2 linked regions of the Mus musculus genome follow. The protein of the gene in region 1 purifies or fractionates together with the protein of each later gene. This does not show direct contact. Links are inferred from orthologs where the notes say so. Each region holds a gene or a part of one and is shown in the gene's direction. Other genes may lie near its edges.

Region 1 (3,810 bases):
CAGACGGTGCGGCAGGTGCAGGAGACGCTGAACTTGGAGCCAGATGTAGCTCAGCACCTTCTGGCTCATTCCCACTGGGGCACAGAGCAGCTGCTGCAGAGCTACAGCGATGACCCAGAACCACTGCTCCTTGCGGCAGGGCTGCGAGTACCCCAGGCCCAGGTGGTCCCCACTCGCCCTGACCAATGCCCTGTGTGCGTCACCCCCTTAGGACCCCATGACGACTCGCCCTCCCTCTGCTGCCTGCACTGCTGCTGTAAGGTGAGCGTGCAGCCTCTCCTTCCCCAGCCTTTCCACCTGGCTACGCACCTTGCAAACACTATTTCCTAACCTGGGTGAGTAGGGTTCTCTTTTCCTCCCTCCTGAGGGGAGAGCCTAGCACCTCAGCCACTGCGCTGAACCCCAAACCCAGGTATGTCTCTCAATATCCCTTCAACTAAGCTAGTTTGCCCTCTGTAACTGGGGCCACCTGCCACACTCCTCACAGAGACAGACAGACAGACAGACAGACAGACAAGGAGGAAATGCCATTAGTGTTACTCATAATCCATGGTTTCCTTAAGTTCACTCATCTCAGGACACAAATCTTTTGTCATGAATTATCATTCAATACACAAACAAATAGAAATATATAGGCCTGGAAAGGGGAGTAAGGACCCAAAGAGAGGAGAGGGCAGAGGTTCCGGGACCCAGAGTGCAAATTCCTTGCCTCCCAGATCTGCAGGCCCCAGGCCAAGCTAACACAGCGCCTGAGCAGCAGGAAGCTAACATAGTACATAGCATGAGGAACACTGCCTGTTGCCACAAACTCTTCCACCTGTGTCTCCCAGGGGTGGGTGATGTGTGGCTCTGTGCCCGCCCCCCCCCCATCTCTGCTCCTAGACACTTCTGATTTAGTTGCTTGGACTCCCTTCTCCCCACAGTTTTAGGTTTTTCTTTTATATATTCATTTAATTATAACAGGCAGGGACTTAGTATGTGTAGTGGGTAGACCCTGTTTGAGGGGGCGAGATCTGAGAGCTGCTAACAATGGCAGCTCACTCTTCAGGGGCACGAGGGCCAGTATCATGCTGTCTGTTTTCATTTCCTAGTTACTCTAATGGTTTGAAGAGTAGCGGCCTTTACTGTCCCCCTTTAAAAGGGTTGTTTATTTATTGAAACCTTGGCATGTAAGCACTTTGCTTGAAGAGGGTATCAGATGTTTCTGGAACTGGAGTTACAGATGGGCTCAAGCCACCATCTGGGAGCTGGGAACTGAACCTGGGTCCTCTGGAAGAATAGCAGTTGCTCTTAACCACTGAGCCATCTGTCCAGCCTTACTAGCTCTAGTGTACAGACGATAGATGGAGACACTCGTGGTGATACCATTTATCTGAGTCAAGATTTGAATTTTGGCAGCCTTACCCCAAACTTAACCTCTCTCCAAACTTTGGTGATAAATTCTGGAAGAAGTTACACTTGGGTGATGTCGTAGGAAGTGACTGCACAGGGAGTAGGGCTTCCCCTTTACATCGGGGCGATCAAGGGAGGACTGACTGCCAAGGGGTGACACCCCGTGAGGGAGTACTGTAGCAGTGGACTGTGGTGACTGAGGCTGTCTGCTAGGGGAGGGGGCCTCAGAGAAGGATGAGGAGGCTGAGGTGGATAATGATGTGTGGGAAACCACTGTGGGTTTCAAGCAAGGCGATACGATCTGATTTACACTAGTGAAAACTTAGATTGGGAGTTGGGAGATAGCTCAGTAGATAAAAGTGCTTACCATGCAGACATGAGCACCGGAGTTCAGATGTCAGAACCTACATAAAAGCCAGTGTAGATAAAGTGAGGGTAGGCATGGTGGCTGACTGTTATCAGGACTCCAGTGGCAGAGATGGGATCCCTGGGGCAGACCAGTCAGTATCCGTGAGCTCCAGGTTCAGTGAGAGCCACCAAAGAGGACAGCAGCTGTCAGCTTTGGGCTTCTCATGAACTGATGTGGAAGTCCCCAGAAGCTTTGGCTGGTGTGTGGAGAGACCCATCTGGAGGGTATTGTGTGAGGTTGAAGGTGTGGTTTGGACCAGTCTGTGGTAACCAGAAAAGTTACAGATAGAACCTATGAGACTTGTCGTGTTAGATGTCCAGGCTCCAGAGAAGAGAACCAAGGAAAGCCCCTCTGCTTCTGATCTGGGTAGCCCAGGGGATGGAACCGGGCACCTTTACTTTGTTTCAGAGGAACTTTGGGGCAAGGTATAGGGATGAAGGGTGGGGCTTTGCGAGGAAGCGCAATCAGTCACAGCCATGTGAAGTTTGAGCTGCTCGCTAGATATTTTATGACAAAGTCAACTAGCCCGTGGATTTGGAACTAAGTGGAGGGTCTGACTGACAACACTTCAGGAAAAGAGTGGAGCTGAGCTTAGGGGGCCCTCGTGTAGAGACACAGAGACAGGGGGCCTACAAAATGTAACTGATTTTAAAAGGTCCTAGCTGGAGGCAGAGGCAGGCAGATCTCTTGAGTTCAAAGCCAGCCTGGTCTCCAGACAGAGTTCCAGGATAGCCAGGACTATGCTGAGAAACCCTGTCTCAAACAAACAAACAAACAAACAAACAAACAAACATAAGACAAAATAACAAAGGTTCCAGGCTGCGAATAAGGCAGAAATGCTGGAGGCACAGGACAGCCCAAGGCCTGGAGCAGTGGAAGGCCGCCAGCATGAGCCTATTGGCAGGCAGTGTGGGCAAAGGGCAGATACTGGCTAGCACTGTTGCCCTAGGGCTGGGCAGTGGCTGTGGCAGAAGCCAAGAGGCCAGGGGCAGCCAGACTCAGATTCCAGGATTCTGTCATTCAGGGCTGTAGGGCATCCAAAGCTACTGCATGCCTGTGAGCTTGGGGTCTACATTTGGTAGACTCGCCCCTTGCTTCACCTAAAATAATGCAAAAACTGTTTTTAGTCTGCTTCCTATCTTGTCTTGATTTGTTTCAAGATGTAAAGGGTTTGGTCTGGTGAGAGACGGTCAGGTTCTTCACGTGGGCACTGTCAACTGGGGTCCCTGTGCTTTGATTGATCATTTTGGAGCTTGATCATAGTCTGAGGACCAAGGGTGCTTAGTGGAACAGTTTAAGAAACTCATGGACTTTGTTTGGAGAGCTGAAGGAGAAAGGGCCATTTATCAGGAGGCTGTTGTGTATTAGGGAGAAGACACAATGACCCGCTTTAGGGTGGGGTGGTAGGAACAACAGAAGAGTTTGGGAAATTCTGGTGCTGGGGACAAGGATGGGGTGGAGATGGCTGTGCGGTGGATGAGGACAGAGGGACACCACAGATTAGTCTCTTAGGGGAAGAGACTGAGTCTGTTAGAAGGAGAGCCCTTGGAGGTAGAGCCTCAGGCTGGGAAAGCTGGAGCCAGGGGGACTAGAGGAAATCAGCAGTGCTGGCACCAGCACGGGCACCAGCACGGGCACCAGCATCTAGGAGCCCAGAGTCCAGGGGGAAAGGCGATGTTTCCCCCAGGTTGCCTTCTCTCTCGCCTTTAAGAAAAAATTATTATCTTTAATTTGTGTGTATGAGTGTTTTGCCTGCATTGCATACATACCTGGCCCTGCAGAGGCCAGAAGAGGATCAGATCCCCAGAAGTGGAATTACAGTTGTGAGCTACCATGTGGGTGCTGGGATTGATCCTGGGTTCTTTAGAGGGGCAGCAGGTGCTCTTAGCCACTCGCAGGTCCATGCTCACCTCGCTGGTGCTGATCACACACCGCTGTGACAAATGCCTGAGAGGAATAGCTTAAGGGGGGAAAGATCTGTTTGGCTCATGGTTTAGGAGTGTTTAGTC
Region 2 (4,425 bases), on another chromosome or scaffold:
GGCAGCCTACTGTGGCTCTGTATAGCCATGAAGACGATGGCTCAAAGGCTGTGAAATTCTGAGGGTGTGTGCATTCGAATGGGAATAACTTTGTAGCAATTTTCAGTGGAAAAAAAAAAAACCCTTAGGATGCAAAGTTATAGTTTTCCTGGAAATAGGGCGATTCCTGTTAATTCTGTTTCTGTGGTCACAAAAAAATAAGTCGAGAACTCATCCCTACTGCCCTGCTTATTCATCCATTTGCTAAATATTTATTCCGTTATCATATAAGGTGGGTCAGAGATGGCCACTGCATTCAGGCTGCTGGCAGTCTAGTGACAACGGAAATCAATGGGGGTTGTGCACTGTGGTAAATACTGTGCCATGGACCATAAAGTGCAGTGGTGCCCACAGGAAAAGACGTAAACACAGAGGTGTGTGGACAAAAAAAAAATCAATTGTTTACCTGATTAAGAAGGGTTTAAATCTTGGCTCTACCACTTCTGTGAGGCTGAGACGAATTTATTCAACTTCTACTTAGCTTCAGTGCCTCTTCCTGGATTATCCTAAGAATGAAAGGACACGGTATAGACAGGAAAACCATAACTGCATCGGGAAATGATACTATTCTGGAGCTTAAATGGTCTAGGCCTCGATTTTGCTCATCTGAGAAATGGAGCCAAATGCAAGTCTGTCTTATGCTTTGAGAGTCAAGACAAACATGGCTATACAGGGAGGATTTGAGGCAGTCTCCTTCCTCCAGACTCCATTAAAACGGAGGCTAGCTAGGTTCTTAATTGCTTAACGGAGAAAGTTCCCTTCGCCACTGCCCAAAAGGACTCCAGGGTCTGCAGAAGCCCCTCAGCCACCGCCAGGGGCCGCTCACTAAAGCCAGAGTCCTGTCTCGATCCGGGTAGGGCGTTGGCTCAGCTTGTTTCCCCAGAGGCCTGCCCCTTGACAAAGGGACAAAATCCCATTTGTCAGTAACCTGGCGCATCAGGGGGTACTTTTGTAGTAGAGAAGAGCAGTCAGATTCGGGCGTCCAGGCCAGCATGCGGCCAGAAGAGAAGGAGCCCAACCAGAGACGCGCCTCTCACCAGTTACTCTTCCCAGGTTTTGGTCTGGGTCTTGCTATGTAGCCCAGGCTGGCCTTGAATTCATTACTGACCCTGCCTCAGCTTCCTGAGTACTGGGGTGACAGGCTCGTTTGATCAAGCCCGGTTTTCCTACAGCCTCCACCTTAGTTCCGTCTCCCGCCTAAGAGAACTGAACTCGAAGTCCCGCCCTGCTTGCGTCCTGCCGTCGGAGGGGGCGGAGGGGAAGGTGAGAACGCCCGGTGGAAACGCGAGAGGAAGGCGGGGAGCCAGCTCACTTCCGGGCAGCAATGCATTTGCCCGCCTAAGCTTCCTTTGGGAAACTGTACCGTTTACCAAAATGCTGCGCGTGGTAAGCTGGAACATCAATGGGATCCGGAGTCCCCTGCAAGGCCTTGCATGCCAGGAACCCAGCAGCTGTCCCACGGCCTTGCGACGCGTTTTGGACGAGCTGGATGCTGATATTGTCTGTCTCCAGGAGACCAAAGTGACCAGTGAGCATTCGAGAATCCAAGATCTCTACGGTGTTTTCCTTTTGATGCTAACCTTTGTTCTGTCTCATTTCGCGTTTCGTTTTCCTATACTTAGAATCCTGCCCTTATACCCATCTGAAAGGCCTGATCCTTTTCTTTCTAAACAACCCCACCCCAGCTAGAACCCCTAATTCCGACTCCTGGCCTGCTTTCCCCGTTGAAACCCTCATACACAGATTCCCACTCATTCTATAGCCCGAACTCTGGGCCTTGAATTTTCTCCTTTCATTCTTCTAAGCCAAACACCTCAGTTTTCCATCCCTGCCCCCACCTCAGTCCTTAATCCCCACCTAATCTCTGCCTTTAGCTCAGACTCTTAATTTCTCCTTCCCATATCTCCAATTCCTCTTTTCTCTCCACCTCAAGGCCCTAGATTCATTCCTCTTTGATATCTTACCTCAAATTTAGACCTAATTTCTTCTCCCATAATTCCCAGCTCGAATTCCCTAATTCCCTCTCCTACCTCCCACCCTTCAGGTCCCCAATCTCCACTGCCAGCATCTGTGAGTACTTTAATCTAAATCACAAGACTTAGCTCTGATTTGCCCTCCTCTGCTTCCCTATCTAATTTGAATATAATTTTCTTTCCTGACTTTCCCATCTCTCTAGCTCCTGTCAACATAAACACTTCTCCTGACCCTCAATTACAGCTCTGATGTATGCTAACCTATAACTGTAATTCCAGTCTTTCATGGGTCCATGGTGCTAATTTACCTCTGACTTTATATTTACTTTTTTTTCTTTTTTTTTTTTTTAGGAGATGTACTGACAGAGCCCCTGGCTATTGTTGAGGGTTATAACTCCTATTTCAGCTTCAGCCGCAGCCGTAGTGGCTATTCTGGTAAATGAGGTCTTCTGGGGGTATTTATGTTAGCATTGGTGATGGAGAAAAGGAGTGTTTTGGTATTTAATAAGAAGGTAACATATTTTGACTTTTCATTTCCAAAGCAAATGCTGCTAATTTTAGGTCATATGAAACCTCATATTTATGCACCGAAGTTTCCTTTTGTCCCTCAGAAGTATAGTAATGTACTTCTTCTGAGTTAACTGTATAAGCACTGGACCTTAACTGCCAGGGTTCAAGTCCTGGCTCACATCCTCTCTGTGTTTTCTGACAAGTTACTTTACCTTTGTGTTTCAGGTTTTTCACTGAGAAAATAAGGATAATGGTTATTTTCTAGGCTCTCACAAGGGTTTAGACATAGTCTTGCATGAGGTAATAATGATAGCTAATTTTTCATCAGCATTTGCTATGTATGTGTAAAATACATTATTATTGTTCTTGTAAAATATAACATTATTCTGTGGCTTTTTTTTTTTGGTTTTGTTTTTTGTTTTCGAGACAGGAACTCACTTTGTAGACCAGGCTGGCCTCAAACTCAGAAATCCACCTGCTTCTGCCTCCCAAGTGCTGGGATTAAAGACGTGCGCCACCACTGCCCTATTCTGTGGCTTTTTAAGAGGAAACTGAGGCCTCAGATGCTTTAAGACGCTACAGAGCCATGTATGGCCCCTGAGTTAGGAGGATTGTCCTTACTTTTTTTTTTTTTTTTTTTGATTTTTCGAGACAGGGTTTCTCTGTATAGCCCTGGCTGTCCTGGAACTCACTTTGTAGACCAGTCTGGCCTCGAACTCAGAAATTCGCCTGCCTCTGCCTCCCAAGTGCTAGGATTAAAGGCGTGTGCCACCACGCCTGGCTGTCCTTACATTTTTGAAACAGTTAAATTTGACAAAGATAACCAAAGCTGTTCCTTATATGGATACACTTGGAGTGGGATAGGCTGTACAATGATATATTGGCTGCTGACCCCGTTCAGAATGCTCTTGTCCGTCCCCAGGTGTGGCTACCTTCTGTAAGGACAGTGCTACCCCAGTAGCTGCTGAAGAAGGCCTGAGTGGTGTGTTTGCCACCCTGAATGGAGATATTGGTTGCTATGGAAACATGGATGAGTTCACGCAAGAGGAACTCCGGGTTCTGGATAGTGAGGGCCGGGCCCTCCTTACACAGCACAAGATCCGGTAATAGTCCATATCCTCCTCTTACAGGCCATCACTGGTTCTAGTCCTTGTGTCTAGAATATAAGGCCCATTCTATAGGTATTCAGTTGCTATAAAAATGTTCCCAAACTTGCCTTCCTGTATTTTAGTCCAGGCTGGGCTGAGTGATCTTGGAAAATTCATGCTTCCTTCTGAGCCTTGTGTTCCCCTCTCTACAGAGGGAGACTGGCCTGAAAGAATAGCTTTTTAATTACCATGGGCTCCTCAAAAATAGCTTAGCCAGCACAGAACTCATCATCCTAAGTTGGTTTCTTTCTAGGTATCTTATAGTCATAAATGGCTGCATTATACCCAGTTTACCTGGGTATTATGCCCTCCTTGCCTTATCCAAAGTCCATCCCCCCAAGACTTGCTCATTTATTTCTCCTAACCGTTTTTTGTTCATCCCATGGATAACCATTAACTAGAATCTGCATGGTGGGTGGATATGAAGGGGAGACTTGAAACTGACCTCTTCTGTGGGGCTCTTTTCTCCCAGCACATTGGAAGGGAAGGAGAAGACTTTGACCCTGATCAATGTGTACTGCCCTCACGCGGATCCTGGGAAGCCTGAGCGGCTGACCTTCAAGATGCGCTTCTATCGCCTGCTCCAGATGCGAGCAGAAGCGCTCCTGGCAGCTGGCAGGTATATTGTCAATCTAGACAGCCAGGTTTGGTTGAACACATCTTGGTGGTTGGCCTGTGCCATGCTCTATGATAGGACATAAAATTTTGTCTTTGAGGTCCTTTCTACTCTAGCATCAAATACTGTCATGCTGAAC

What was found.
Region 2: the proteins of Cul9 (region 1) and Apex2 purify together in Homo sapiens (affinity purification with mass spectrometry; 3 studies listed by BioGRID and IntAct, counting the BioPlex papers as one, with this or other methods). This does not show direct contact. The link is inferred for Mus musculus from reciprocal best matches to the Homo sapiens genes CUL9 and APEX2.

What each region holds. Positions count from the first base shown.
Region 1 is NC_000083.6:46,504,718-46,508,527, reverse strand, and holds part of Cul9 (cullin-9), read left to right. Parts: coding exon 1-261; intron 262-3,810. UniProt on the Homo sapiens protein: Core component of a Cul9-RING ubiquitin-protein ligase complex composed of CUL9 and RBX1. The CUL9-RBX1 complex mediates ubiquitination and subsequent degradation of BIRC5 and is required to maintain microtubule dynamics and genome integrity.
Region 2 is NC_000086.7:150,585,065-150,589,489, reverse strand, and holds the start of Apex2 (DNA-(apurinic or apyrimidinic site) endonuclease 2), read left to right. Parts: upstream 1-1,334; 5' UTR 1,335-1,413; coding exon 1,414-1,567; coding exon of another isoform or gene 1,568-1,597; intron 1,598-2,003; exon of another isoform or gene 2,004-2,045; intron 2,046-2,363; coding exon 2,364-2,447; intron 2,448-3,444; coding exon 3,445-3,625; intron 3,626-4,142; coding exon 4,143-4,289; intron 4,290-4,425. UniProt on the Homo sapiens protein: Functions as a weak apurinic/apyrimidinic (AP) endodeoxyribonuclease in the DNA base excision repair (BER) pathway of DNA lesions induced by oxidative and alkylating agents.